Bombyx mori: one gene and its partners. The main gene of each other region encodes a partner of the protein of the gene in region 2 in a complex. Links are inferred from orthologs where the notes say so. Each region holds a gene or a part of one and is shown on either strand. Other genes may lie near its edges.

Region 1 (7,969 bases), on a different chromosome or scaffold from region 2:
AAATCATAGTCTAATTAAATTTAAAAAAATATATAATTCGAATCTATTATTACTTAATTAGTAGACTTACAGCAGCTGTGACTATCGGAGGTGGTTCTAAGTCACCGTCCGTTCGGACAACATTAACATGTTCCATCTTCTCACACGAGGCTTCCAATTTACACCAAGACACTTTGGCTTGGACGCTTTCCGGGTTCTTGATCTCAAGCCAACAGGGCCCTTTGATTTTCCTCTCTAGTAGGAATATTTCTAGTGAAGATGTGTTCGTTCCGAATATATGTGAGAATGTCAAATATTTTTTGTTGGTAGGAGGCGGAGGGAGAGTTGCCTGCAAGTATGATATCAGAAGTTGTATTAATTTATGTTTGTAAATGTTTGTTGTTTTTAGGAAGTATTCGGTCATGAATAATCTTTAGACTAAAAACTTTTAACGCTGAGTGGATATAACAGAATAATTCTATTATTATATGTGAATAAATAAGAAAAGCATTTTTTTTTTCATAACAAATCAAGACAAAACTTACCGAGTATCTAACTTCTAAATAATCAGATTGAGCTGGTATATCTGGCAAATTGAAACAGTAGTTCTTGGTGACCTTTCGTGATTTAAATTCTTGGAGACTGAGTTCACTTGCCACAGAACTATTGAACTCTTCATACATATCCATCATCGTCACCTCTTGTTCTGTTGGCTCAAGGGTTATTGGGTCAAGTTTCTGAAAAGTAATGTGAATTTGCATATTATATTTTTTATAGTAGTGATAATTTCTTTACCTGACTAAAAGGAAATTGCGTTCAACATAACATAGTCTCAGTAAAAAATAAATACATATACATCTATAGAATTTAGCCTGAGAGAATGGATGATATACTAAATTTTCTTGTAAATAATTTATTGGATTTTATTTACTGTAATTTTTTTAAACATTTTATAAACTTATTTATTTACAAAATGAATATACTACTGATGAGAGCTACCCTCGGTGGAGGACACAACCAAACTGCCACATCGCATTGCATAAATGCATATAACTTATGATTTCAGTATACATAACAAACAGAAAACATTTACCAGTAAATTCGATAGTACACTATGTGGTAAATGTTGTATTATTTTATGCGGGAGACATGAAATTTCGTACTTAAATTACAGTATTCAGCAACAGTTAGCATGTTAAAAATTAGAGGTTTTTTACTATGTGAGCTACCCTTCTATGACAAAGGGCCATCTTGGTTTAAATTGTAAGCCTGTTAGTGTAGACATTACAGTCTGTCTCTACCGTGAAGCAGTTTTGCATTCTAGTGTGAAGGGTAAGGCAGTAATTTAAATTAATTGAGATATCAATCTCATATTGCAAAGTGGGAAGCACTACGAGTCACACATATTTATAGCAATAAAAAACTTACATATTCTCTTGGCAACAGGAATATCTGCCTATTAACATTCTTCACAACAAGGCAGCATGATACACATCCAGCCTTCTTTTTTGATGGGTCAACATAAACTTTTCCAAATAGGTATATAACGCCTGGTTTTACAAACCGATCTTCCCATGCATCAAGCCAGTAAAATCTAAGCACTTTCTCCCCTGTTTCATTGGTTTGCAGTGGTAATTGACCATCACTTTGAACTGAAGACACAGTTTGGTTGTCACCTCCTTGTTCTGGCCATGTACTAGTCAATGGTTTCAGTTCTTTCGTAGTTTCTTTCTTTGGTAAAGGGAATATTTCAAATTCGTCATTGAAAAATTCATCAGTGATGTCTGTTGTAGGATTTTCGGTGATAGTTCCGGTGCTGACAGGCTCGTTTTTCACTTGGGACGTTTTTGCATCATTGCTGAAGTCATCGTCAAAGTCAATATCTTGTGTTTCAAATTCTTCTATATTAGGAGTAAGCGTTTCATTAAGTTCTTGCTTGATTTCTTTTTCAATGTTCCATTCTGGTTTCTTGATTTTCTTATTTGCAGGTTCATTTACCACATGATTTATCTGTGAGGTTAAAATAATATATTTGTTAATATTTGTAGGCTGTGGCTGTTACACTTTATTTAAACAAAAACAAACTTTACATGTAATAAATTATAGAATAGAGTTAATAGAATGATTGTTGTCTCCATGTTATTATCGAAGGTTTTATGGAATTACTAAGGAGTTGTTTCTTCTATAGCACTGGATATCATCTGGCTCTCTCTCACCCTCCATGCTAACCGGATTGCTATGATGTTCTATTTTAAACAAGGTTCGAAAAGTGTCCACAGGAGATTGGCTATGTGTAGCTCTGGTATTGCTGATGTCTACAAGGGGCAGAAACCACTAATCATTAGGTAGGTAATCTGTCATCATCAATAATATCAAGGATATTTAAAATACAATTAAAAAATATTTAACTTTACCATATTTACCATATTTTTTTCACACTGTACTGCAGATGTGTCTGGCTCAATACTTTCAGTCTGAAATAATAACAAGTTTTAGCTTGCTGTTGCAAATTATTTTAGTAATGTAACATCTGTTTTGTGTAGAGAGAACGATTTTCAATGGGTACATTCTGCATAAATACATTTCGTTATATATTTTCGACGACCTTTTAATGCGAAGTTTACTTTTCAAATTGTGTTACATGAATAAATTACTATTCAGTATCAGCTACTACAACATTTATACTTTTATAAATAATTATCCAATCAGGTTACAGGAAAAGCACAGAAGACTTAAATTTAGAACCAATACGTAACTAATTTAGGTATCGTCAAAACGCTATTTCGACAAAGCGGCGGGATATGATAATTCTCTTATTCTGGTCACTGCTAATTACATACTTTTTACATATCTTTGACATTTTTTGCTCTTCAAGCACCGGACCTAGTCGAACTCGTCGATAACGACAACCGAATTAACCAGTGACACAGCTGGCTGAGTTTCTTGCTAGATCTTCTCAATAGGTCGTGATTCTGATCTAGTGGTGAATTCTGCCAAGAACTGCTCGCGCTAAGGCTAGTGTTGGCAAATTCTCCAAGTATTTGGAATAGCCCCTTAGACTAACAGTTAATAACTCGATACAAATGAAAAAATGATACATGCCTCCTTTTCTTCCTTGAATGTTTTTAGTACAGAAGGTTTCTTGACGTTAGCAGAAAGACTTTTGAAGTAGTTTTGTGCATCTCTCTTACTTGTATCCACAATGTTAGTTTTAGTTATAGGCAGTGTAGATTTTACTACATTTGATGCAGTGTTAGCATCCAAATCAGATATAATATCAGATAAAATATTATCTTCTGAAATCTTTACATCCTGAAAGAAAGAAAAACAACATATTAAATTACTAATAAAAAATTAAGTTAGGATTCAAACATTACCAAGTTGCCAATTATTTGATAATATGTGCAATTAAACAGGGAATTTAGTTTAGAGAAGTAGTCAAAGTTGCTCAAGTACCAAATTAAATTAACCCTGTTTTTACTAGGATTACAGGTTATAAAAATATTTTTTTTTATTAATCTTTATTTCAGAAATATAAGGTTGGATCTATATTATGCAAAAAATTATTAAGTTTTTGCACTTTTCTCTTGGAATCTAGACTATAATTATATTTGTCATAGTCTGTAACTCTATAGAAGACTATAGTTTTTATATTTTTCCTAAAATTATCAGAAGGATGTCCCCGATACATAAGAACTAATTAGTACTTAAAATATCCTATCTAAAACATTATAATCATAGATATCAATGGATTGCATTCTTAAATATAAATTAAATAAATGAAATATAACAAACCTCTTTTTTCTTACTAGGCATGTTACCAATTAAGTTTCGTATATTCCCTTTTCCTGAGGACTGTGCTGCAACTTTGGCCTTCCTTTTCTGTCCTCTGCCTGTATCTTTACTATTTGTTGCTTCATAAGCATCATCATCATCATCAAATATCTCCCTTCCATCTTCAACATAGCCAGTACCATCTAAAAAGTTTGTTACATTAGTTGAATCTTCTAATACATATTTTTCACTCGTTAAGTATAGCCAGTATTGAAAACAAACATTACTGTGTCACTAATGCACATTTAATTTACAGAATGGATGTTTTCTCACTTGAAAATTTCAATTCGGTTTGTAGTCACTTTAAACATTTAATAAATAAGGATTTTGAAAATTTATATGTGAAACTTTTTTGAAAAGTCTAGTTAATATTATTAGTTGAAACTAAAAATTATGTACTGATTTGTAATATGGATTTACCATCTTCTATCCAATCGTCTTCTTGTCGCTGTAGAACTCTTTCTGTGTATTCTTTCTCGTCAACAGTGTCGTACACATTCTCAAGCACATCCACATCGTACTTATGCTTTACACCTTTCCCTTTTAATTGTTTTAGCTTCTCAAACGCCGAGAATCGACCGTGTCGGTCTGTTTTTTGTCGCTTCGCACGCTGAGCAGCTACAAACAGTAAATACATTTTGTTAAATGTTCAAGGAGTTTCGAAACTAAATGCATCCTAGATACAGACTTAAGTATTGCAGTACCTATTGAATCGGCCATTCTCTTTTAATAGCTTTTCTTTTGTACACATATATAAGTTTAAAACAATTTACATTTACAAGAAACACTAATATTTTGATTAGGTTAAATTCTTTTTAGATATTTTGGCGCGTATCCACTTTGAAAGCCTTCAGCTGTGATTGACATTTGATATTTGTATTCCGTTTTGCAACAGAAAGGGCGAGGATATCATACTATACAGTCGAATCTCTTTTCTAAATTAATTAATTAAAGTCTTCATGTTCTACTAAAGGATAAGGTATATGGTGTGAAATTTGCATGTCGTAGATTTCGTTTTTGCCCTTTTTTAGAAGACTTTTAATATGCGAGTTGTTCCCTTTACCTATCCATTTAGAAATAAAAATCTTCTTAGTTTCACAAATTTCGCGCCAATTTGTAACTGTCAAAAAACATTTGTTGTGATGCTTGTGATCGGTGCTGGTGATACATTTGTGATTAGTATTTGAAGACAGCAATTATTCGAATAACATATTTCTAACATAATGGCAATGCGTGATTACACTGCAGATAAAGGTACTTGAAGAAGATCGAGCATATTACCAAAATTATGAACGATTAAATAATTTCAATAAACCTTTACAGAATCTTTCAAGAACTTTTTCGTTGATTTTTGTCAAACTGATGATGAAGGAAAAAAGTATTTTAAATATGCTGAACAACTTACTAAAGTTGCACACAGAGAACAGGTAAGATTGTTCGGTTCATAATAATAATAAAAATACAATGCTATGTTGAGGTTAGGGTAGTTGTAGTTTCTAGTTCTTTGAATGATATAATAATATAATTTCACTTATTTTATTGCTGGGACAATTTTTCCAGTTTTACTATAAGGTATAATTGTTATCTTATTGTAAACTATCGCAGGATCAAGATAATGATTATTAGCAGATAATGAAGATTAGTTTATTTATGTGTATACAGTTATTAGGATAACAGAAAGTTAGGATTAAAAAAAATTATAGCTTGTTGTATGAATTATACTTTAAATTACCGAAATTTTTATGTAACTGAAATCAAACTAAACTAAACCTCAATACACATCATGACTGCCTGCTTAGGGCACACAGGAAGCAAGAAGACGTTAATAACAAAAACTAATTTTTTATTATAGATAGCATTTGAAGTTGACTTGGATGATTTACATGAGATGAATGAAGATTTGACTGAGGCAGTCAAACAAAATACCAGAAGATACACTAATATGGTGTCAGACGTGGTTTATGAAATGCTGCCTGATTACAAATTCAAAGAGGTAAGCATTGATATAATTATGCAAAGCTTAAAGATTGTAGCAAAAATGGGAAAAAGCAATTATACTAACAATAACAGAAAGCATTTATGTGCAAATTGCTGCGTAAATGTACATAATGTATGTGACCTTATAATTTCATTCATTGTATAAAATGAATAGAATATTTTTCATTACGTGTGTTGCACATTACAGTTGTGTTACACAAATATAAATAAAATGAATTATCAAATAAAATTTTATATAAAATTGTTTTCACATGCAATGTTTGTTTCGTTAAAGCTAATGCTTAATTATTCTAACCACTGGACATTGCAACACAAAAAACGGTTCTGCTATTGTAGTCTTTCCTGAGCTATTAGTGTTTGAATGTTATATCACAGTATAATATAACTCAAAATTAAAAAAACAAATTATATAACAATATCAGGTAGTAGCAAAGGATTCCTTGGATGTATACATTGAGCACAGAATTATGTTGGAAGCCAGAAACCACAGGATTCCTGGAGAAATGAGGGATCCTAGGAACAGATACCCACCAGAGCTCATCAGGAGATTGTAAGTTGTTTTTATATTAAGTTCTGAGAATTTTTAACTGTAAATAAACAAGTATACTGGTAATACATTTAGGTTTGTCTAACTTATGAGAGATTTTTTCTTAAGAATTGATCCTTTATATTCCTTTATATGAGTTAGATTGAGGTTTGGATTGTATAAAAAATACATTTAAAACTTTTATTTACCTAATTTGATTTGTCATCCCACTCACTCATATTAAATAGAAGAATAGATTTTAATTTAAAGTCAAATTAAATTGCCATATTATGAAATAACAATTTGTAAAATAAGTATTTCTTTATTTTAGTGAAGTGTACTTCAAAGACTTGTCAACATCGAAAAGTGTACCTATCAGAGAAGTTAAGGCTGAACATATTGGGAAACTAGTTACTGTGCGAGGTACATATTATAGTATAGTCATGTTGCATATACGAATATAGATATTTATCTATATTTCAATTAAAAAATAGATTTCTTAATGTAGTTAATCACTGCAACCCAATAACAACCTCTAGGAGATGCTTCATTAACCATGCAATCACATCACATGTTTCTAGGGATCTACTACAAACTTAATCTTCTATTGAACAGGTAACATTAATTAATTGGAATTGTCATTAGGGTGTAATTCAGGATATTGTACTGATTTATTTCTATTTGATTATAGATTAAGCTACACCTAATCTATTTATTGATTAATAAAAATTTCAAAAAAAGCAAAATTATAAATAGTTCTCTCCTACACTTCACATAATAGTGTTTGAGATCTTCTTTTTTTTATTGATAAATTCTGTGCCAAAAGATAACACTTACATAGTACACAACAGTTACAGTACACACATACAGTTACAAGATTACAAAATGTTATAAAATAAAAATAAAAATAAGAGTTATTCAAACTTAACAACAAATACCAATAATTACAATTGAATAAGTATAGTTTTTGAAGAGACACCGGTGTGGGTTTTACTGATAATGATGATGAACATTCTTTGCCGTTTCTGGATTTCAGCAGAGTCAGGGGTAAAGGCACTGTATGCTGCAGGAATTGAAATATATAGAGATATATAAACAGACAAAAATATGTAACAATAAAATACATATATACCCTACGATAAAGTCTCAATAGATAAGAGATTTGTTAAATATCTATATATTAATACCTGAAGAAAAAACTTTGTACCCCTTTTTACGGAAATTGCTTCGACGGAGGAGTATGAAATTTCCCACACTTATAGAGAATATAGAGAAGGAGTGCACAATGCTTTTTTTTTTTAATTATGCATTTATAATACATTAAATTAATAAAAAAACATTACACATACTACCATGTATCTGACACCCACACACTAATATTAATATTGTTTATCTTTAATATTATTTGTCTATAGTGTAGTCTTTGCGAAATCTGTGATTATAGAAGTATAATAGTCTTTGACAATAGAACCATAATAATATTCAAACTTATAATTTCAATTAATTATAGTCGAATTTCGACTACTGCGGGATTACTAGTTAATTTAAGTTTGTGTTCAGGTATAGTGACTCGGTGCACGGACGTGAAGCCGCTGCTGGTGGTGGCGACGTACTCGTGCAGCGCGTGCGGCG
Region 2 (7,967 bases):
CAGTTCAGGCGGAACAACCGATGTCAATATTAAAGTACATTCCAAAAATAATTTGTATCTATTTCGCTCAGGATCTTCGCAACCCTTGACCCACACATAGGCCGCAGCAGCTACAGCAAATATAAGCAAAAACATTATGAATCCAAAAGTTTCAAGATTATTAGCTGTGACCCTTTTCACTCCAAACAAAATGGTTCTTAGCAGTTTACCCTGTGATGTGTTAAAACCATTACGTATAACATAACCAATGCAACCATTATCCGGGGCTTTAAGCCCTGAAGGTGAGCTTTTGGATGGTGAGGAATGTTGTACAATCTTAGTACCACCAAAAAGCATGTGAAGTTTACCATCACCCTCAGGTTCTAGATGTTGCTGGAGGTCCTTTTCATTTTCCAAAGCTTCTTTCATTTGTGGAACACTCTCACCAGTCAACATGGACTCATCTACAATACAGGACCCCCGTAAGAGTATTATGTCACAAGGGACCAGGTTTTCGTTGACGGATCTTGTGAGGGATACTATGTCACCCGGTAAAAGCTGATCGCTTGTTATTTGTCTCCACCTCCTGTTTCGATATACATTAATGTTGTAAGGCTTATTGCCCATCTTTCTGATCTCAGCCATATTTCTGAGCTGTTGCTGCACCAATGTACATTCAAACATAACCAACATCACTAGTGTGAATATTGAGTAATACCAATACTTATCCAAACACCACAGAGCTACACAAAATACTTGAAATACAAAAAATGGTGCTGTTGCTCTCTCTTTAAAAAGTTCCATAAATTCCGGAACAACCTGAAAATTTGTAGAGTGGTTTGTATGGTTCAAATATTTTTAAAATAACATTCTTAATTTAATTTTCATTTATATATGTTTATGATTTTACAAAGATTACTTACCATAACCATCTCATTTTTACCAAATTCTTTTTCTGCTAAATCAATAGCCTCATCATCAGAATATCCTTTGGATTCCATATATTCTTCATAAATTTTATTGATAGGAAATTCTATGGTGTGAAAATTCTTTTTATCCCAGTCATACACATATTTACTCTTTTGAAATATGAACCAAACATCTGGGTGTATACTGTCTTTTTTTGTTGACTGTAAATCAAATATATTTTAAAATAAACCTGAACTTAGTGAAAATCGACTCGAAGCCCTCATTCTCTTTTCTAAATTGTACCCTGTACTATCATTAACTTTGAATGTTATTTTTTTCCTACATAAGCTGATAGCCTTGGGAGGCTATTTCAGCAGAACCTTAACTAGTAGGTGAGCTCACGGGGCTCAAACCTGACGACGTTGCGTACACGAACCCTGGCAAGAGCCGTGCTTCGCAGAATCTACCGCCGGATCGGAAACGCGACCCACTGAGAAGATTCGGCGAAAAACTCAGTGGCCTGTGTCTGAGGGTTAAGTTACTCATCGAGCCCTTCGTTGCAAGTGACGGGTTCGACAAGAATTTGAATGTAAAACTTGAAACTTAAAACTTGAAAACCATGAACAAGCTGGAAAAATATTTGTGGCTATTTGTATTCATTCCACATTCAAAGACCTGAAAGTACAGAGATTTCTACCATGTAATGTGTCTGTTTTTGAAAGAGAAAACAAATACACTGCGATCCCTACCTAATGCCAAATACTTGCCAATACAAATGCCAAAAAAAACAACCAAATAGAATACATCTAAGACTATGGGATACGGTATGGCCATATTTACTAGCCACTATACCAATAACTTGGTACCTTCAATGTGATGCAGATGTAAATCATTTTATTCCAATACTGTGTGAACATCACAGTTGAAAAATTTTAATATGGTTTTTGTTAAAGTTCACAATATAAGTCTTACCTTCGTATGATGTAGTCGAACAAGCTCAGATGATCCATTGTTAGAAGTCGGTACAACCTTGACTACCTCAGCTTGTATTGGATCTTTAACCTGTCATCAACATCATATAGCAAATGTAAAGTCTCTAATTTCTTTTTAAAAACATTTTGCTGTCTAAGGACTTACCGCTGAACAAGAAAGGAAGCAGTTGATATGAACACTCCAGTAACAACACAAACATATGAGGATCTGGACTGTTGCTATCACAGCCACAGTCACGAATCCTGCCTCGAAATTATCTTCTATACCGTACACAACGATCCATGAATAAAAAACCAGAGGGTAAATAAATAGAAAAGGCAAAACCGTGCCTTGTAAAACAGTCGGAACAGGCTTGAAAAGCTGTGTATACTGAACTAAATCATCTAGTGACGACTGCATCTTTACCATCGATGTCGCTATGAAAAATTCTATTAATTGATACGGATTCTAACGCAGTTGCCAAATTTTAACTAAATGATACTATCACGCAGCATTGCTCCATTCAATTGATTGGTTTTAATTCAAAATAATGGTTTGATTTCGGAGTCTAGCCAACTTGACAGATTATTGACATGTTGTAAATTGCAAAAGTAGTGAGTGAAGTGCATAGAGAATGACCGAAGTGTAAAACCGGAAAGAGCAACAACATGTGCATTACCAGCAACGTCATTAGCCCACATCAGCCTCACTGTTTGAGTATACAAATCCAGATTTTTGTAATTTTCAGCATTCCATTTTAAGTGGAAATAAGATTTCCACAACTCGTGAGTGATTTGTTTTGATGAATAGTTTAAATTTTTTTAGCTATGATATTTTAGGATAAAACATTTTTTTAAACTATTATTTATTTTCTTTACTAAAATATAAAGCCATTTTCGTTACTATAAATTCGTTGAGCCGAATCTTTGTTATTATTCAACACGATATTTAAAAAATTTGGTAATTACTCTAGAAACTACGGTGGGCGTCAGACATTGATGAAAACAAATCTGGCAGTTTGTGGGACCCAGTCATAGAAATACTCTATAATAAATATAGTAGAAAATTAAAATCACGTGCGCATAGTCAGCGCAAATTATACGAACAGGATAATTTGTCTGCAGTATAATAATAAAATAATGATTTGATCCATCACACTATTCAACTTAACTAAAATATTACATTTAATTATGAAACTTTAGTTCGTTGAAAATTTTATAAAAAATTATTAATCCCATGAGTTTATTTCTTTATTTTACCTCACTCTGATTCAACCCTCGCATCAACATCACCCCGAAGTTCTATTTACCGGTTTCCAGTGTGGCCACTAAGTATAACAAAGAATAAATTGACATCAAGCGATTTATCTATTAAGTGCTGTAATGAAGCTATCACTATCTATACAAAACCGTTATTTTAACAAGAGCAATGTTATCAGAACTATCAATTTACCAGTAACGATAAACAAAATTTCAGGACTTTTCGTTTTAAAGTGTTCCCTCGCTAATAAGCTTCGTAACTTCGACTGAAACGCTGTAAACTTCTTTACTCGCCACGGGTTTCGTCCTAATTTAGAGCCTGAGGCATTAGCATTTTGAATTCCTCAGTCACTTGGTCTGACCAATGGCTTTTTAAAATTGTTACGAAATCATAAAAAACTTGTTTTCAATAATAGATCAGGTTTCGGATTAAGTATTTTAATACTTGTAAGAACATGGTTTTATGTTTATAGTTTCACAGAGGTTCGTATATACAGTATATAGCCTTCGAAGGCAATGAAAATTCTTGCTGTAATTTTATTTTAGTCTTAAATCCCATTTTATTTGTCGTTATTGTCATTGTGTGGTCATGAAAAAAGCAATTACCATTAGTCATATCGTTCTTTCATTATGGACAAAACTGCGAAAGCTGAAAATCAATCTGAGACAAACACAAGACAAAAATGGATTTAATCTTTATTCTAAGCTATTTTGGGCTACGATGCCTTTGTCTCTTTTGTGGACAAATCAACAATGATGTCTGTCACTGTTACTTGTCACTATTGTGATTTGTGTCTACAAAAACTCATAGACCTATATAGTAAAAACTGGCGCCAAAATTGTTCCAGTAGCAAGTGTAACAATAGTGCTAAACATTATTAATATGAACATTATTAATAACAAGAATTTATAACACAATAAAGGTTAAAAGTAATTATTAAATATATAAAAAAGTATGGATTTCAAAGTTAAAAGAAAATCTACCAAAACTCCAGCAACAGGTAATCAATTCGAACTCTATCCACATGACTTACAATTGTACAAAATTCCACCGGTTGAAAACATCACTTTACAAGAATTTGAAACATTAGCTCTGGAGCGTGTAAATTTGTTAAGAACGTTGTCTACAGCTACAACTCTTCGAGGGTTGCGTTTAAATTCAGAAGAATTTGTGGAATTCGTACTAAACGATTTACGAGCACAGGGTTTGAAATATTATGCTAAATTGTGTGAGAAATCGGGTTGTGGATCTACTAAAGCAGATTTTGAAGCCCGAAGAAAAGATCACATTGCTCATTTTATACTCCGACTTGCTTATTGTCGGACTGAAGAGTTGCGACGTTGGTTCATCGCAAGGGAATTGGAACTATTCAAAATGAGATTTGCTGTCATGAGAGGCGAAGCGGTAGAGGTATTCTTTAAACTAAACAATCTATGTTACACTACTATTTCTGAAGATGAAAAAAACGAAGTAATACAAAACTTAATAGAATCTACACCCTACTCTAAAATAGACAATATGAAATTCTATAAGGTTAAATTCTTTGAAGTTCTAGATTTGGTTAAAGCAAGAAAAGTATTTCTTAATGATGGATACGCTTATATACCTCACAGAGATTTCATATCAGTTCTTGCAGCACAGTATCGAACACATTTAAAACAAAATTTGGCCAAAGCTTGCCATCATCTGTGTGAAATTGAACAAGATGAACGACTTGTTTGTTTGTTAAAAGGCTTACATCAATCTTATTCAGGTAATGATTATTCTGAAACTAAAGCTGTGATACCCATAGAAAGCTTGGACTCTATTTCAACCAAGTCATTTCCTCTGTGTATGAGGCAACTTCATGAACAATTAAGAATTGCCCATCACTTAAAACATGGGGGCAGGTTACAGTATGGCTTGTTCTTAAAAGGTATTGGTGTGACACTGGAAGACTCTTTAAGGTTTTGGAGGGAAGAATTCATTAAGATTATGGATTTGGATAAATTTGAAAAGCAATATGCTTATAATGTTAGATACAATTATGGAAAAGAAGGAAGCAAAAGGAATTATTCACCATTCAGTTGTCTGAAGATTATAAATACCAATGTTGGTCCTGGAGATTGTCATGGATGTCCATTCAGACACTGTGATACTGGTGTTCTAAAGAATAAACTTATTGGCTATGGTTTTAGTCATCAAGGTAAATCAAAATGTTATAACTGTTTTATCAAAGCCACAACAACATTAACTTGTACACAGACTAATAGAATAACGTAATGTATTCATTTCTAAGTACTTAATGTTGTGTAATTATAGTGTGCTAAATAAAATTAATTACAACTCCATAAACTATTTTAAAAAATGTACTAAAGCTTAAAAGTTTAAAATAACTGATATTAGTTTATTATGTTCCCAAAAATATTGCCTTTAATTTACCAAGTTGCACTATTGATGAGGTGACACTTCAGTAGATATTGATTACTCCTTTAGTGAACTAATCAGTTGGTAGATTGTACATGCCAAAATATTAAAATAACCTAAGTGAAACCAAAATTTATAGACTGCCAAATGTTACTCAGTTACTAACACTCATTGGAGCCTCCTTTGCAAACAGCAATGTTAATACATATGGAGGCTTGCACTAGTTGTAAATTTCACTGAAAAAGGTAAATTTTCTTGATTTTCAGTTGTTTCTGATATAGTGGAGTTGAGCAAGAAAACACATTTCCAAATTGCCTGCAGTAAATATTTTGATGCCATCCACAATGCAGATGTTGGTTTAGGTATCAATCATCCTAATCAGTTCTTTGAGGAGAGTCAGAAAATATTGAAAGGAGAATTGAAAGTACAACCCAAGAAAGAAAATCTTGTGAAGAAAGATATTGTTGACAGCATAGATGCTATGGATTTTGATGAGCCACTGGAATGATCTAACACAACAGAAATAAAACTTATTTCATATTGCAATAGTTCATTTATTATTTTTGCTTAACATACATAGCTTTTTTAGTAACATGTCCACAGTACAGACCAAATATAAAAATTATGCCTACAATCGAAATACCTACAACTAAGAAATACTTTTTTGATGGTGATGATGATATGCTATGATAAACATCTCCCAGTGTTTCAAATTTCTGTAAATTAAAAAACAAATTAATTATGTAAACACAATTATAAAAAGCAAAGAATAATAAAAAAAAAAATTATTAAAGGATATTTGGTTATGACACTTAAAATCAAGCATAAAATTGGAATTTTGCTATTTCAGATACAAACTGATTTGATTTGATGAATCTTTACTTAATAATTAATTAAAACAAAACTTACAGCTGCTACAAATCTATACATTTCTAATCTACTTGTGAGTTCCTTTTCACATGCTGCCTCCAACTTCCGTGTTCCATCATTTGATATAATTTTTAAACATTTCAGACCTGCAAAAATTTTTTTATTATCTTTCGTAATTTGGCAGGCATATGTTTGAGCGGCGTAGTATGTGAGATGGAAGTTTCGACCAACAGTCCATCTTCATTGTTGCCAAAGCGGATTGCTATCGCAACATATTGTTGTTTCATGCATTGGTCTGTCAGGCCATTAGCTTGTCTATTCATCTACAGTTGACAATACTAAAATGAACAATAACAATTCATTACGTAGTCCTTTGTCCATAAAATTCACAATCTATGAATCATCAATTACATTGTGAAGCGTGATAAGGCAGACACGAAACTTTTTAAGAATCAAATTATGTATCTATTTTTTTTATTATAATACATAAATATCTTCACCATAAAGAAGTTATATATATAGTGTAGTAAAATTTTATTACAATACAAATTACATTCAGAAAAAGTAACGCCGAATCTTTTATTAACGAATGAATACGAAAGCCATTAGCAGATATAAAGTAATATATTCAATATGGGATAAAGTCGAGAGCTCGCCATATAGCGGGACATCCGGGTTCGATAATAGCAATGTCGATTCTCGGTGGTATTCCTATCGTTCGCAGTACGCTATTGTTGTGATATCGCCCGAAAAGATAATTTTGTCAAGATAATAATTTAGAATTAGAATACATATAAAAAATTGTTATAATGATTTAACAGATATACGTGGGTACAACACATTTTTTTTAAGTAAGCATACCAAAACCGCGTTGGAGGTTGAGTCGAGTCGAGTTAAGCTCGTGTGAACGACTAAAGATACGGGGGTTAAGCACGAAACTTCTACGTCCTGATTATATGGGACTTGCAAAATGATAGAGGCCACCCAATAAACGACTACTCTCGCCCGATCGGCCAATCTCCGTCCGAGACACAACCCAAGAGAGGTTTTACGAGGGTTTATCTCTCACAACTGCAAGGAGTTTACTTTTTTATTGCTTAGATGGGTGGACGAGCTCACGGCCCACCTGGTGTTCAGTGGTTACAGAAGCCCATAGACATATATAATGTAAATGCCGCCACACACCTTGAGATATGAGTTCTAAAGTCTCAGTACAGTTACAACCGCTGCCCCACCCACCCTTCAAACCGAAACTCATTACTGCTTCACGGCAGAAATAGGCAGGGTGGTGGTACCTAGAACTTTGAAGGTAATTAAAGAACCTTACTTTGAAGGTGATTTGTATGAATAACTAACATTTTGTTTATTATTGATATTTTCCGTGTAAGTACTTTCTTGACCGAGTAGTAAGTATAATTACTATCTATTTTGTCAAGCGTAACCAAATGCACATTAATTTTCCAGAAAGTCCTTGTTACTTTGAGCGGTTTTTTTTTATTCCAGGACAGTTTCTATATAAGTACATGCTTAGTATGTTTAGTACAAAGGCCGTAGTATTTGCACCCTCCATT
Region 3 (7,950 bases), on a different chromosome or scaffold from region 2:
AAAATTAAAATAAGACATGACTTAAAGGGCTTAGTTACCAGGTCATAAAATCCCTAAAAAAAAGAAACTAAAATTAAAAAAGAATTTACTCAATTTACAATACAAAAGTTCCTTTAGCCCCTTTTTTCTTTCCGTGTGTGTTTTCATTTGTAAAGACAGATTATATTACCTACGAAGCGTTATTATTATAAATAAATATGCAATGAGTAATAAACCTTAATTAAAAATATCTGGACCCCTCAAGAATGGCCGACGACATCATATTTGAATTATTACATTCTGAAATTATAAATTATTCTATTGAAAAATTCAAGAATAACGATAATGGCGAAAAGGTTTGTTTAATCAATATGTATGTAATGTTAAATACTAAATAATCGTTTGAGATTAGGCAATATTATTACAATAAATACATTTTAATACATCGATTTCAGGAAACTGATTTGTCTGTTGTCGAATACATCGGGTTTGCGGCAGGCTATAAAATCATGGAAAGATTAACGAGGGAATGGCCGCGTTTTAAAGATGAATTAGATACTATGAAATTCATATGTACAGATTTTTGGACTTGTATTTACAAAAAACAGATAGATAATCTTCGTACAAACCACCAAGGAGTTTATGTACTTCAAGATAATGCATTCCGTTTTCTAACAAATTTTTCTAATGGTCATCAGTACCTGGAATATGCTCCTAGAGTGAGTAAAAACTATTATTTCTTATATTTCTTTTCATTGACCTTTGGAATTAATAAAATTTACTATCAAAGTATTGTTTCTAAATCAGTGTTTTTACCATTTCAGTATGTTGCTTACACTTGTGGGCTCATTCGAGGTGGATTGGCTAATCTCTGTATTAACAGTATTGTCACAGCAGAAGTTCAGTCTATGCCTTCATGTAAATTTCATATACACGTTCAAAGAACATAATACAAATCTAGATTTGCTTTGTTTACATTGTTTTAATATGTTATAACATGTTATGTTATTGTTTAATGTATTATTTTTTTTTAAATAAAGGAGTAATAATATATTGCATATTCTATTATTTATTATGAACATTTGGGGTCCTGGACATGTCAAGGTCACTAGTGCCATGAGTGTATTAAGCACTTTATTGTTCACTTTGGTTATAAGCCTTAAACAGGATTGTAATAACTATTGTAACTATTAAAAGTATTCTGAAGTTGTCATGGCCTAAAAGATAAGTCGACTCGTGCATTTGTATTGAGTGATGCACTGGAATTCAAATCCTGCATGCCGGTACCAATTTTTCAAATTTTCAAAAGATGTTCACAATTGACTTTCATAGTGAAGGAATAACATTATGTATTAATTAAAATCAGTGTGGGGCAGCTGTTTGTAACTACTGAGACCTTAGAAATCATATCTCAAGGTGGATGGCGGCTTTTACCTTGAGCCTATGGGCTCTGATAACCACTTAAGGTCAGCCGGGCCGTGAGCTTGTCTACCCATCTAAGCAATAAAAAAAAAGTAATTGCTTAATATAAGGACTATTGGATCTCAAAAAACAAGCATAATAAATATCAATAGATTCTTAGATACTTTATAAATCTTGATATCTCAGTTGTAAACCACACAAATTAAATAATTACTAGATAAATAACTAAAGCACCATCAGTTTGATGTATAATTTCTTACCAATTAATTGTGAAAACAATTGTGTAAAATACAAGATGTTCTCACCTTAACCGTACATAATTAAAGGTAAAAAACAAAAGGGTTTTCACTGAGCACTTATTCAGCAATATTAGTGGTTAACAAAGGAAGCGGGACACTACACTTCTCCAAATATAGATGGCTCAGCCTGCTCTACTGTTATTAATGAATATTTTCAATCGGAATGGGAATCCCTGAAAACGTTTTACAAATTTGAAAAACTTTTTCTCCATAAGTCAAGGTTTACCTCTTTACGTAAGTGGGACACGGCCATCGCAATCTCACCTGTGAGTCATATAGCTATGCTTAGACCATGGGTATCTACCTGAGCTTACACCTGCCTTTACGGTTCACACAGCTGATAACTCTTCAAACATTTGGAAGATTTCAGTTTCGATCAGAAGGTCACCAGGCGATCTGAGCGTGTTGATACATGTGGCGCACTACCAGGACTAGCGGGTCTCCCGGGAGTACATAAGAGCGATCGCAAATCTGCGGCACCCCTTGGATGGCCTGACGGACTCGCGTAGTGAGATGGCCGACGTTTCAGAGCTGTCGATTCGCCTCGAAGGTTCCATCAATCGGGTGTTCGTGGGGTGAACTGAGCCTATTTGCAGTGTTGACTGTAGTCTAACTGCCTTACCCCACCCGGGTTCTGACCTCAGGGGGGTGAACTAACACTTTGGCGAAAGTGCAGGGGAGTCGTTTAGTGGGTAAATACCATCCTTGGGCCCTCGGTCTAATCTGTGAACCGTCGAAGCCCACATAGCGTGCCCCCTAGACGCCGGGAACTCATACGAGGTTCGGCCATCAGCCAAAAAAAAAGCGCTACTGATCTCCAGGGTTTGACTGTTTTTCGTTTTGACTTACCAGTTTTTTACACAGTCCATTCGTATTTACAGTCATTAAGGTGTGCGTACTTAAATAAGTGAAGAAACCCCATTACTACCGTGGGACCTGGAAAAACCGGCATAAATATGAGTATAAAATAAACAAACAACCCCCGTGGTCACTACGGTGCCAAAGAACCGAGAATCGCGGTTTTCGAGGCGACAATGGTTTTTAATTTTTATTGCTTAGACGAATGACCGAGCTCACGGCCGACTTGGTGTTAAACGGTCACCAGAGTCTCTAGACATCAACAACGTAAATGACGCCTACATCGAGTTGTGGTTTTCAAGTCGGTTCTACTACCTATATTATTGTGCACTATAGTACAATGACTGCCCTTGAAGTCGCTTGCTGCTGCATTGCTGCTTGTGAAGCAGCAGTAGATTGGTGGGGTATAGCAAAATCTTGGTCATGGATTGTGTGAGGAACTAATGGACACGGGAGGGTATCGGTCTTTCCTGCGAACGATGGGCTGTATTGGTCTCTGCGTAAACTCACCACACTTTATAGACACACAAATACGTCTGCCCCGTAAGTTCCAGAAACCACTGAGACACGTCACAAGCATTAAAAAAGGAGACCAGAAAGGGGCAGAAATTCGGCGACCCGATAGTGGAAAATGGACGTTTGATGGCAAACATAATCAGGAGGGTGGGCGCCAGCCATTCGTTTCAAGTCCTACTATCTACTGAATTTTTAACCCGATTTTACACTACGCAAGCTTCAATGATTAATGGCAGGATATTGGATGGAGCTGAAGTGTCGGGAAGTGCGAAATGGGAAGCGAGAAGAACCCTTGAGGCATGAAATCGCATCGAATGTACTTTAGAATGGTTGGAGCTCTTCGTTGACGGTTACCCCTGCACTATCATCACCATTAACTCTGGCGTTCCAGCATGTTATATGCCCTATTGATGGCTTGTATTAATAAACAGGTAAAATCAGAAGGGATTGGCAATGTATCGGTCATCCATATTTCTCGGAACCTAATTCAGGCGAAATAATCAACAAGTGAGTGAAGAACATAGCTCTTTGAAGCGGGTCTTCAACTGGGGTAAATTGAATTTAATTCGGTTTATGGAAGAGTTTCTTTCTAGTAAAAAACAAATAATATCCTAAAGTAGGTACTGTTAAATTTAAAACAAATGAACATTGTTTCTTGCTTTTTGATTTTGTTAAGTTAGTTGTTTATTAAACCATTATAAACAAAAACGTAAAAGAAATCTTTGCGACGCAGCACAAAGTCACTGATTCGTAAATTAAAAATTTACTTTACAATGACAAGACAAGTTACGACTGATTTGACTGTTCTATGGCAGGTTTTAAAAATTTTCGTTTCTGGCAACCTCTTTTTTGACGCAAACTTTCGGATCGGCGTTGGCGCTCTTTTGCTTCCTTTTCTTTCATTTGCTCTTTCAATTACAGAAAATGGCCTCCGAAGAGTTGGTGACTGAGCAATTTAAATTTTTTGGCATAAACGTTGAACAAGATGTTTTATTAAAATGTAAGTAAGCTTGTTTAACGGTTAGAAACGGTTTGTCTTTTCTGTTACCTGTGCTCGATAAGTTCTATCAATGGTGATTGTAATTAAACATTGACAAATAACATGTTCAAGGTTGTTTCACGAACCATTTTTCCAAAGGTGTAAATTTATGTGAAGAGAACAATATTGATGCTGAAACTTTTATCGAACAATGGATGGCATTCAGTTTGAATTATGTAAACGGTGCTTCACCAAACTTGGAAAACTTAGATTTATTCGTAAGAAAGGAATTTTCCAAGCGCCGAACTAACGCGTCCGCTAAAGAAACCACACGACCAGCTGCCGGTAAAAGTCTTACCGTTTATGGAGCAAAAGCCACTTCGCCGTATCCTTTGACACAAAGTACGTTGAAATTTGCAGTATATTAGAAAATAACTTTATGAAATGTGCTTCTTATATTCATTATGTTTCTTAAAACACTATTGTGTTAGTAGCGTTATTTCAAAAATTTTGTGCAATCATTTCCTATACTGATATAGTCCAGACAGTGAAGTACTGTCAAGTTATGTTGCCGTAACGCCCAAGGTATGTAACTGGATTTTAATAAACTTCGTGTTAGTTTTGAGTTAACGTTTCAAGGTTATGTACGTAGTTTTTTTGTTTCTAAATCTCTAAGCGATGAATCTTAATTCTCAGTTAGTACCTTAATACTGAATTTTGTGTATGTGTTAATAAATCTTTCAGTTGATGAAGAGTATTTGAAGAAAAACGGATCTTTCTCCATTTGTAGTTAATGGGTATAGGTCTAGTATCACCGGGCTGATTCTGTGACTAGATCTACACTCATTGAGTGCTTATGGATTCATCTTCAGAGCATCTGACTTGTATCAATATTTTAAACATACATTTCATAATCTACCCTACAAATTAAATATAAATGCATTTTGAAATCATTATTGCAAACAAAGCATCAAGAAAGGAAGTGGATAAATAACAACTAATTAAAATGGAATGTGCGTATTAAAAATCAACCAGTGACTTGATGATATTTGTGGGCGAGTTTGCTTCTGGTTCATGTTTTATATTGATCATGACTAGATCCATACTCGTCTGCAGCCATCAACTCATTCTTCTTATGAGTAAGTTTTATAGTCTATTTGTATCACAGACATTTAACATAAAATATTGTTATTGTAAAATTGGAAATACATCACACAGAAGCATTAAAATAATACTAAACTAAGTTAAAAAAATGACTTGCATGTTAATAGTATATTCTGGTAACCATCAAACAGTCCAGCTATAAGTAATGCTGAATGTTTGAATCTAACTACTGTAAAACGATGAGTATCTCACAAATGTGAAAATTTGTACTGCAACCAGTCCGGTACAAATATTGTTTATCTTGTTTATAATTTTTTGTAAGTCTTAGTTGCCACAAATATATATCTAATTTTTTATTAATATTAACGGTGAATGTTTAATCTAACAATTGATTTCTTATAAAGGTTATGTTTGAGTTCAGTTTTAAAATTAAAGACAATAACAGTGAAAGAGTCTGCTAATTATGTACCAATTGAGACTACACGGCTGTGGTTATATGCTCTTGGTATGCAGTTGCTTGAGAGTACCTACACTTTTTTTCTGCTTTTGAGGTAGCTGTGCATATATTCCACCTGATGTTGAGTGTTCATTGTTGCCCAAATATTAGAAAAGTATGGGAAAGTATGGTCTTGGGACTTTTCAAAACATGTTTAATACAAAACTATGTCGCTAGCGCTCATAGAATGCCAAGGAGGGGTACTCACTATAGAGCCAGATTTTAAGTGTCAATAATGATCACTGGAATCGCATTAGGGAGGAATGGAGTGGTTCTAAGTAGGTACATGACCAAACCGTTCCGACGGCGGGTGGTACAGTTAGGGAACGTACCCATACTACGTGACCTATTTTTTTTGTTTTTTCGACCTCCCTCCCCACGGTGATCACTCGTAGTATATGCCAAGACCCCCCCCCTCTCCCCCTTTAGTTTTCACGTAGTAATTCATTATGATTTTTAATCATTACATAGGCAAAAATTGAAAAAATAAAAATTGGTTCATACTCGTCTTTATTGCACAAGACTGCATGCACATTTAAATTACTAGTGAATTATGTAGTGTGAGTTTACAAAGCGCTAAGCACTGTGCGCTATATTCAAATATAGGTCGAAAAAATACGAGATTTCTCTCACTAAAATCGACTACGTGACAAAAACCTGAGCCACCCCCCCGCTCCTGTGACTGACCGTAGTATTTTAAAGACTCCGCTCCCCGCCCTAAACGGGACACGTACTATGGGTACGTTCCCTTACTAAGGAGATGACAGAGCCATCTCAGAATATTCCTTAGACCACTCCACATGGTTCATACGCTACAAATACCGAAAGAATCAAAGTAAAATCATAGATGCAGGGGCTACAAAAGAACTGAGATAGAGCAAACGATCAAAACTGTTCTTTTCTGTATTGGGTTAAACGAAAAAAGTGGATACTTAAGAACCTCGGCACAGATATAGGAGCAAACTAATCCGCGGGGCCTCTATGCTTTTACAAAAAGAAGTATTAGCCCGAGCTTGAACTATCGTTTCTCTCTGTTAAAGACTACCAACATTTTAGAAGCCATCTTAGCTTAACTTTCCAAACTACTAATACTGTACGTCATTCGAAACAAGTATCCCGAGAATTCCAGTACGGTCATAAGGTTAAATAAAATAATAAATGAACAATTCAGCATATATCGCAATCATCTGGCCCAAATGAGAATCAAAGATTGAAATTCATAATTCTCTACGTTTAAATATATACATATTTTATGTATATGGGGAACCGCTAATAACACTGCAATCTGCTTGGGCGGCGATATCGTCGGCAAAAATAAGTGTTTTGGCCACCACGGTCGGTGACCCATTCGAAGAACCAGCCTGTGTCGCTGGTGATCCACGATACCCCGCTGTACCAGAGTCAGCCTGCTAGTTGTGAAGGTGGATCACAACGAACCGGGCGCTCTTTAAGTTAACTTTATGCTGTGCGCTAAAGTCCATAGTGCGTGGCCTTGAACTCCAGTTGCACCGAACCGGATAGTCGAGGGATCCTGGCTCCTACAGGACGCCCCAGGCGTAACTCCTACTGGATTGGTGCAGTGAAAGTAGAGTGCTATCTCGAACGAGTGTACACTTCCAGTTGCGAAATGTTGGTGGACTTCACAGAAGTCGAACCTCGCGTTCCAAGAACAAGACTCCTACCAATAATTTTAAACACTGGTCGTCAACGACAAATCCGGTCCTATTTGAGCGAGGCCACTACTCCCCTGAACCACCCTCCACTAATCCCCCCCCTTGATTGATATTTATTAAAATAGTGTAGGAAAACTATGTACATACGAGTACTTGCATAATTTTTTCCTTAACTTCATTATTTGCGTTAAAAAAAATTTTTGAAATAATGAAAACCTCAGGCAAAAATATCGTAATACATATATCACAACTCTGTTGTTTTGAAATTAATTTAATGTGCAAATCCTTAAACTTAAATATTCACAGAGAGTCAAAATCGAAAAAGACGCGACGACAAATCCGAATAACATAGTTCCTGCAACTTATTCACCGACCGTGTAAGTTAACGAAGTTAAAATTCCGTGGCGCCATGTGAATATTGAAACAAAGTAAATACTTAACCGAATATTCCAGCGGTTCAGCGAAGTACGCGTCGAGAACAAACGCAGGCACGGTGGTCCATTCTTATGGAGATGAGAAATTACTACAAGAATTAGGTAAAGCGAACAGCTCGAATGATGTGCTCAGTTTGAAAATCACGCAAGTGCCTAATGACGATGACGAAGTTTACACAAAGGCGATGTA
Region 4 (7,981 bases), on a different chromosome or scaffold from region 2:
CTACCTTTTAAATCTTCTCTGGACTTCCACAAATAATTCAAGACCAAAATTAGCCAAATCAGTCAAGCCGTTCTCGTGTTTTAGCAAGACTAACAAACAGCAAGTCATTGTTATATATATAGATAAATAGATTGCCAAAAAATATTGTTGGACATTGAGCAATAGTGAAAACCAAACAACATGACAATATTATAAAACTGATATATTTACTATTCTTGGTTCTGTTCCATATAAAGTTTCATAAACATGCTGTAAAAATCCTATCGTAGATATTATTAATAAGGCCAGTAAAGTGATAATTACGCAGCACATGTAAAAAATCCAAAAGAACAAAACACCTGCAATAAACATGAACATCAATTTTAATACGTTTGGAACCTCTGGGTTTGCGGAGGGACTTCGGTTCCCTCTGTATTTTGTACCGTATGTTCCATGGGGAGTGCTCTGAGGAATTGTTCGAGATGATACCGGCATCTCGTTTTTACCATCGCACCGCCCGCCACCGGAGTAGAGTTCATCCATACTACCTGGAGCCACTGCGGTCATCCACAGTGCGTTTCCAGAGGTCTTTTTTGCCACGTACCCTCCGGCTATGGAATGAGCTCCCCTCCACGGTGTTTCCCGAGCGCTATGACATGTCCTTTTTCAAACGAGGCTTGTGGAGAGTATTAAGCGGTAGGCAGTGGCTTGGCTCTGTCCCTGGCATTGCTGAAGTCCATGGGCGACGGCAACCACTCACCATCAGGTGGGCGGCATGCTCGTCTGCCTACAAGGGCAATAAAAAATAATAATAATAATAGTACTAGTACTTCGTAATTTATAGAAAAAGTTGTGAAGTTAATTTGCATAATGATTAGATTTTGTTCCTTAAATGAAGCCAGTATCCAATCGTCGTTGTGAACTTCTTGTAAAAATGACGGAAGAATGAAGCTTTATAAGCGTAGGCAGTAGAAAATTGTTCTTAGAATCTCTAAAGATGTGTTCCTGTTTTTACACAATATAATGATTCTGCTAGAGTAGAAACCAAAAAAAAGTATTTTAATAATTTTTCCTATGATTGTTTCCTACTTTGAGAATTGCTTGGAGGAAAGGAAGATTCTTAGGAGGAAATAGAATCCGAGAAGAATTCCTACTAGCAACGCGAAAGTCCACAAAGTTTGATTAGCTGTTGAAATTATTTATGCAGCCGCCAATGATATTTTATATGTAAAAAGAAAGAAAGTAAATATTGTATAAAAGATCATTGACAGCCGCTATTAACGAGACTCTCAAATATATTAAGTGTATAATCTATGAACGAGACAGTACAATGGTGTCATCCTTTTACTTTATTTCAATGCAATTAATATCTCAATGACATGAATCTTACTCGTGTCTTGATTAAAAAATATAACGTTCTACAATAAATGGTTCTAATTTTTTTCTTGAAATTTGACTCTACAATCCTATACCAGACAATACGTCATCCAGTTCTCAAATACAACATACTGTTCACAAAAATACCGACTCGAACCGGATATTGTACCCCGTTAATAAGCCGCTGAATATTTTTCAGGTTACAAACGTCCACTGCTGGACATAGGCCTTCCCAAACCTCGCCACAACGACCAGTTTTGTGCTACCTACATCCAGTGGATTCCAGCGAATCTCAAAGTTGTCAGTCCACCTTGTTTCCCCTCATTCCTGATATAATGTTGTCGGAAAACTCCGAGCATCACCATCGCCACTGCTCTTTGGGTGACATTGAGCTTTCTGATAATGTCCATTGAGAGCGATTACGACATAATGCAATATGTCACACACCGGTCAATGACTTTCGTCTTGAGACAATGTGTGATATTTATGATGTGGCTATCTTTCTAAGGCAGGCTATAGAGTTTTCTAAATAGTATTACAGCCTTGTCTGAAATTTTAATATTTTTTTTTTTAATTCTTTAATATTCAGTATCTAATATTAGTAGTATAGTAACTTACCTTCTAAAAATACAATTACTAGAAATATAGTTGAGGTCATCAAAATAACAGTTACAGAAAAAAACGTAGATATAAGCAGTAAATTTAATAACCAGGCTGCTATTAAAGTCATTGCCAATGGCTTTCTTAGCAACGATTCGATCAATACCTTTGATGCATTAAGAAATTTTTCCGAAGTCTTGCAATACGAATTGTGCAGTGAACCTGAAAATATAGACGAATAATTATTTTCGTAAATTAAAGTAAATACTGTTGGTGGTTTAAACCACAAACACATGTGAAAAGTATTTTAAAAGATCCATTACTTATTAAATTAGGGTTTACGGTTATTTTTTAATGTTCCTACTTACGAAATGACATTTTTACTACTATTAAAAAAGCGGTGTCTTTATTAATTTCCATATTGTTTTAGTAGTCAGAATTTCAGCAGTTTTGACATCAATAACTAAATCAAGATTCAATTCACACACAAAGCTGAATAAAATTTAGGGTAGGTAGTTGAAAAATGTTTACGGGTAGGTTAAAAAATTTTTTTTACATTTGAGTCGACTATTATCAAAGGCGGCAATCTGACTTTTGGACAATGATTGGTAAATCAGAAAAACGAATTATTGACTTTGTATTCCATTGGCAGTCACAAAACTCTTCGGAACGACATCTTAGATAAATAACAGGTTAACTATTAACCTTTATTTAATGCAGGTTTTGAACCGTATTCTTTGAAAGAGACGATTATATTCAAATAAATCTGTATTGACATATCAATAAAAATTTTTTGTCCAAATGTACAGATTGCCGCCTTTGTTAATAGACGACTCATTTAATCGATTCTACAAATTTTCGGTCTCGGATTCCTAATTAGTTTTTATTAAAGGATTTAATGACTTGGTAACTAAGACTTTTAAGTCATGTCTTATTTTAATTTATATTCTTATGTTTATGAAAAATGATATTAAGGAGTGAAATGAAATGAAGATGATTAATTTGAGACATTAATCAACTGGGATGAAATTAAATGAAATGAGATGAGATGGTATGGAATGAAATATAATCTCAGTAAAATGACTGAGATTATAGATAGAGAGATATCATCTCATCTCATTTCATTTAATTTCATCCCAGTTGATTAATGTCTCAAATTAATCATCTTCATTTCATTTCATTTCACTCCATATTGGTTATCATTTTTCATAAAAATAAGAATATAAATTAAAATAAGACATGACTTAAAGGTATTAGTTATCAGGTCATGAAATCCCTAAAAAAAATGTCATTATAGGAGTTGTTGTTTTGGTAAAAATGGTAAGTTCAAATTCAAACTGATCTAAATAAAAAACTAAACTTCTGATTAATATCAATTTAATTGTACAGATTGGCGAACACAATGAAAACATTCTATCTGATATGCTACCCACTTACTATGCCAGGCAATTTCCGCAAAATATATTCTGTAGATGGCTAGCATGCGGTAGTTCGCCTCAACCGCTCTGTAACAGAGAATTATCATTTACTTTAGCTGACGATGTCTACCTCCGTTATTTGTCGATTTCGCATCAAAAGGATTTACAAACCCTTCTTCAAAAGAAATGTCCACACAAATTGGATGTTGGAGCAGTTTACAACACAAAGTATGTTTTATGTCTAAAAGTTTGTATGAAGTTAAAATATCATGCTTGAATATTTAATAAAGTAAATTTCATTTATTAGCATTTAAAAAGCAATATTACACTCTTTTATTGTCACTTGGTATTCTTCCGTTATTTAAGGCCTTCTGTAGGAAGACATGACGCTGTAGTGATATCGCGAGAACTAGTATTCGATATAGATTTAACAGACTATGATGAAATAAGAACATGTTGTCAAGAAGCTAGAGTGTGTGAAAAATGCTGGAAATTTATGGTTATTGCATGTGAAATCATTGATAAAGCTTTAAAAGGTAAATACATGATTTACTTTACTGAGCTACAGACCATTAAAGATTCTTCTATATTTCTATATTTATTTACCACACCACACTCATTAAAATGTAACCTATCTCATGCATACTTGGGGTGGCGAAAAAAAACTACAAAACCATATGTCCAGCAGAGGATGTTTGTGGGCCAATAGAAAAAAAAAAGAAAACCAAAACATATTTACACTGTAGTAGTTAGTTACTTATATATTTCCACTAGTGAATGGATTTTGACTTCAATTATCCACATCTATAGTATTATTTTCATGATACAAGTGATTCATGATTCTTATAATTGACAAAATGATTGATTGAATTCAAATTCACATCCTTGACTTACTAATTTCAGATGACTTCGGGTTCCAAAGCATCCTGTGGGTATTTTCAGGTCGGCGTGGTATTCACTGTTGGGTATCAGATTATGAAGCCAGAACTCTCGATAGTCCAGGTCGAGGAGCTATTGCCGATTACCTTTGTTTAATCGTAGGTGGTGAAAACCAAAGTAAAAAAGTGCATCTTGGCAATGAAAACTTACATTCCAGTATAAGGTTATATCATTTTTTTTTAATTTGATATTCTTACATGAGATTTACATAAATATTTTTTGAAAATGATAGATGATCATAATTTTGTTGATAATAATTTTGTTAATTACTTCTCGCAAAATTAAAAATTACTTTTATGAGTCGATCTACCCATCCAAAGAAGATTAATAAGAAAATACTATTATTTTCTTTCATAAGCTGCTGGAGCACATTACCAGAGTTTTGACCAGTAAAAATCATTACTAAGGCTAAGGGAAAAGTGATTATGATGTAACACTGTATTATTATTGGTTACATGTGAAAATAATTTACATTGGTCATGCTAATCAGAATTTAGAATGCTTAGAATGTTACCTTGATATAATGTCACATATCAAGATCAGGACTAGATTTGACACAAAGTCCCTTTTATATACATACCTTTATATACTTTACAAGTGTATACAGTAAGACATCACCCCCAAACTTATAATTTTAATACCGCTGTCCTTATCATTTTCACTAATAAACTTTTACACTTTATAATTTTATACTACACATAACTTATATAACACTCCCTTGAGGAAGTTACGCATTCCCTTGTATATTTACACGTTTCATGTTCGATCTGATATTCATTTTCGTAAGGAGAATGAGTTAGGCATTAAGTTTACTAATATATAAAATACATGAAGTGTAAGTAATAAATAAATTAAAAATAGTATATTTAAATACTTGTTCCAGGCGTGCCTTAAATATAATAGACAAATACTTTGAACAATTATTACAAGATCAGGAATTTTTAGCAACAGATAAGCTAAACTCATTTTTGAAGTTGATACCAGATGATGCGTTAAAATCACAGGTTGAAACAACTTTGAAAAAAATGCAGGAACCATCATTGAATAAGTGGAACACTTTTATAAATATTTATGAAAATTATTGCAGAGAGGTAAAAAAATAATAAAATTTTGACATAAAGAAAAATTTGGTACTTCATTAAAAATTAGAAATTCATTGAAAAGTCGTTGGCATTTGTTTTTTAAACTGCTTAAATTTTTTTCCAAGGATACAGTTCAAGATTAACCTACATATTAGAAGTTGTGTCCTAAAAAATATGCATATATATGTATGACTCTATTTTGTCATGTTTTTCAATTTGTAGAATGGAAATGTTATACGAAAAATAAAATATCTTATAGAAGAAATAAAAATTCAATATTGCTACCCCAGATTAGATGTTAATGTGACAAAAGGTTTCAATCACTTGCTCAAGTCTCCATTCAGTATACATCCGAAAACTGGAAAAGTGTCTGTTGTTTTCAAGTCAGCAAATGCAAAGAATTTGAAGATCGATGAAATACCAACAATATACAGTTTATTAGATGATAGTGTCGCCGAAAATAACCAACATGAAACTAATATGAAAGCGGCTGTTAAAATTTTCCAAGAACTTGTATTCGCTTTGGAGAAAACTGAAGCTATGAGAAAACGCAGTGATGCCAGTAAGACTATTTTAGTTTTTGTTATCTTGTTTATGTCTACTACTACTACTGAGCTGGCGCTATCACCACTGGCGCTGTCACACCAGCGGTACTTGGGCCTCCCTACGGGGCGGCGTCCCTCCGGTACACCCGTTTCACAGCCCGATCCTGCTCCATACGTACTACATGTCCGAACCATCCGAGCCTCCGTGCCTTCATCTCCCCCAGAATATTTCGCTCACCAAAAAGCCTCTCCACATCCTTATTTTTCCGGACGTGCCAAGAACCGTCTTCTTTCCGAACTGGTCCTAGTATTTTTCTCAATACCTTTCGCTCAATACCTTTGTTTCGGAGCGAAAGGTTGTTAATGTCTAAACTGAAATAATAACCAGAGTAAATGTTAAATGTGTTTAAATGGAACTTGTCTAAAGAACTCTTTATAATTATTATTTTTGTTGCAGATACATCATTGGATTTTTAAATCAATGAACATGTGATTCTCAAATAAAGTTTAATAATGAAAATATGTAATTGGTTGGCTGATGTTTTTTTTCTGTATGTAAGGGTGAACGATCTTACGGTCTACTTGCTGTTAAATGGTAAATGTAGGTTGCATAATGGCCTTCCCTTAATCCAAACAGAAGCATAAGTATGCAGAAATGAGTTGGGCTTTTTACATCTTATTGACTTATTTGAAGGTACTCACAGTCTACCTGATCGTAAGGTAAATTTCATTGCTTATGGTAATAGTTAATGCACAGGAGCAATGTGACTGTTTCTTATCACGTTTCAAACCTTTAGCATGCCTATACATGGCGCATAAGTGGAGAATAAAGTCTTTGTAGGCATCCCCTACTGTTTTTCGTTACAAAGGGGAATTCAATTATGGATTCCTGGTTGATGGGGAATCAGACCGGGTTAAGTCGGACTCCGGTGCCTTCGAAGGACTGCGTCTTAAGAAAGGAGCATTAGACAGCGTGAACCGTACAACTGCCCCAATAGAATGGCTACCGATTAAACCCTAATGAAAACTCACTCGACGCCAGAAACAGAACTCTGGCAAGGTAAGGGGAGATTCCACTGTCAACACTGGCGTACCACTGCCTGCAAAAACGCCGCGAGGATCAAACACTGAACTTCGACCACTATACGAAAGGGTGAGCACAGGTTATACATTGCATATGCGACTCTGAAGTTTGCCAGTATACCCAGCCCACTGAGTTTCTCGCCGGATCTTCTCAGTGGGTCGCGTTTCCGATCCAGTGGTAGATTCTGCGAAGCACGGCTTTTGCTAGGGTTCGTGTTAGCAACGTCGTCAGGTTTGAGCCCCGTGAGCTCACCTAGCCACGGTTACGCTGGAATAGCCGCTCCAGGCTACCAGGTTAGGTAGGAAAAAAAAAAGCGAGTATACCATGGTTTTCCTTTCGTCCGGACCAGAGATAGAACCGGTAGAGTTTATTTTATCTCAATGAGAATGTTTCAGTGGACATTCAAATTGAAATATATATTTACTACTTTCATACATTTCATATTTATGATAGGTTTTCCTTTTAAAAAGTTACAGATTAATTTAGGTTTTGGATAGCTAAAACTTATATTTGACGAGTATAGTCATCCACAACTGGATGAAGTACAATAAAACAAAGTTCTCAGCGCTGAGAGTGTACCATACGCACCATCTCGAATACGATACATCCCATTCGCTTAAAGTTCACGCGACTAATTGTGTGATACGAAAACAGTAAAACAAAATGATAACTAAAACCTAAAATATGTCGCTGGGACATCTGTGGGCTGAAAGAGAGACAAGAGATAACTAGTAGTTCAGAATTACCTACATAATCGTTGCTCAAACACTTGTAGTGATATTATGTACTTTAAACAAATCTACTTGAAAGTAAGTACGTACGTAGATATTTAACAATTATTAAATGTTTGTATAAATTAATAAATATAATGTTTTCAAATAGTGTATACAAACTATATACATATTTGAAGTTAAATAACGGGCATTAGAGTTACCAACTTATACAATTTAAATAACT

Evidence for each region.
Region 1: DNA primase large subunit (region 2) and DNA polymerase alpha catalytic subunit share a complex: the UniProt entries of both Drosophila melanogaster proteins name them as parts of the alpha DNA polymerase complex. The link is inferred for Bombyx mori from reciprocal best matches to the Drosophila melanogaster genes Prim2 and PolA1.
Region 3: DNA primase large subunit (region 2) and DNA polymerase alpha subunit B share a complex: the UniProt entries of both Drosophila melanogaster proteins name them as parts of the alpha DNA polymerase complex. The link is inferred for Bombyx mori from reciprocal best matches to the Drosophila melanogaster genes Prim2 and PolA2.
Region 4: DNA primase large subunit (region 2) and DNA primase small subunit share a complex: the UniProt entries of both Drosophila melanogaster proteins name them as parts of the alpha DNA polymerase complex. The link is inferred for Bombyx mori from reciprocal best matches to the Drosophila melanogaster genes Prim2 and Prim1.

What each region holds. Positions count from the first base shown.
Region 1 is NC_085121.1:13,175,019-13,182,987, reverse strand, and holds the start of DNA polymerase alpha catalytic subunit, read right to left. Parts: upstream 4,712-7,969; 5' UTR 4,534-4,711; coding exon 4,518-4,533; intron 4,432-4,517; coding exon 4,234-4,431; intron 3,957-4,233; coding exon 3,775-3,956; intron 3,292-3,774; coding exon 3,082-3,291; intron 2,454-3,081; coding exon 2,394-2,453; intron 1,990-2,393; coding exon 1,408-1,989; intron 717-1,407; coding exon 525-716; intron 329-524; coding exon 71-328; intron 1-70. UniProt on the Drosophila melanogaster protein: Catalytic subunit of the DNA polymerase alpha complex (also known as the alpha DNA polymerase-primase complex) which plays an essential role in the initiation of DNA synthesis.
Region 2 is NC_085110.1:5,391,488-5,399,454, reverse strand, and holds DNA primase large subunit, read left to right. Parts: upstream 1-3,546; 5' UTR 3,547-4,074; coding exon 4,075-5,305; intron 5,306-5,792; coding exon 5,793-6,034; 3' UTR 6,035-6,072; downstream 6,073-7,967. Other genes in the region: endoplasmic reticulum transmembrane helix translocase, read right to left, coding at 1-798, 903-1,109, 1,861-1,950, 2,026-2,289; Golgi apparatus protein 1, read right to left, coding at 6,084-6,242, 6,436-6,542. UniProt on the Drosophila melanogaster protein: Regulatory subunit of the DNA primase complex and component of the DNA polymerase alpha complex (also known as the alpha DNA polymerase-primase complex) which play an essential role in the initiation of DNA synthesis.
Region 3 is NC_085131.1:8,409,352-8,417,301, reverse strand, and holds the start of DNA polymerase alpha subunit B, read left to right. Parts: upstream 1-3,920; 5' UTR 3,921-3,998; coding exon 3,999-4,074; intron 4,075-4,185; coding exon 4,186-4,438; intron 4,439-4,592; coding exon 4,593-4,638; intron 4,639-4,836; exon of another isoform or gene 4,837-4,913; intron 4,914-5,096; exon of another isoform or gene 5,097-5,176; intron 5,177-7,632; coding exon 7,633-7,703; intron 7,704-7,779; coding exon 7,780-7,947; intron 7,948-7,950. Other genes in the region: trafficking protein particle complex 6b, read left to right, coding at 246-335, 435-698, 804-929. UniProt on the Drosophila melanogaster protein: Accessory subunit of the DNA polymerase alpha complex (also known as the alpha DNA polymerase-primase complex) which plays an essential role in the initiation of DNA synthesis.
Region 4 is NC_085116.1:10,061,971-10,069,951, forward strand, and holds DNA primase small subunit, read left to right. Parts: upstream 1-3,119; 5' UTR 3,120-3,273; coding exon 3,274-3,276; intron 3,277-3,344; exon of another isoform or gene 3,345-3,345; coding exon 3,346-3,602; intron 3,603-3,740; coding exon 3,741-3,910; intron 3,911-4,277; coding exon 4,278-4,476; intron 4,477-5,196; coding exon 5,197-5,404; intron 5,405-5,617; coding exon 5,618-6,304; 3' UTR 6,305-6,397; coding exon of another isoform or gene 6,398-6,417; 3' UTR 6,418-6,467; downstream 6,468-7,981. Other genes in the region: uncharacterized protein LOC101739672, read right to left, coding at 190-338, 1,975-2,178, 2,325-2,376. UniProt on the Drosophila melanogaster protein: Catalytic subunit of the DNA primase complex and component of the DNA polymerase alpha complex (also known as the alpha DNA polymerase-primase complex) which play an essential role in the initiation of DNA synthesis.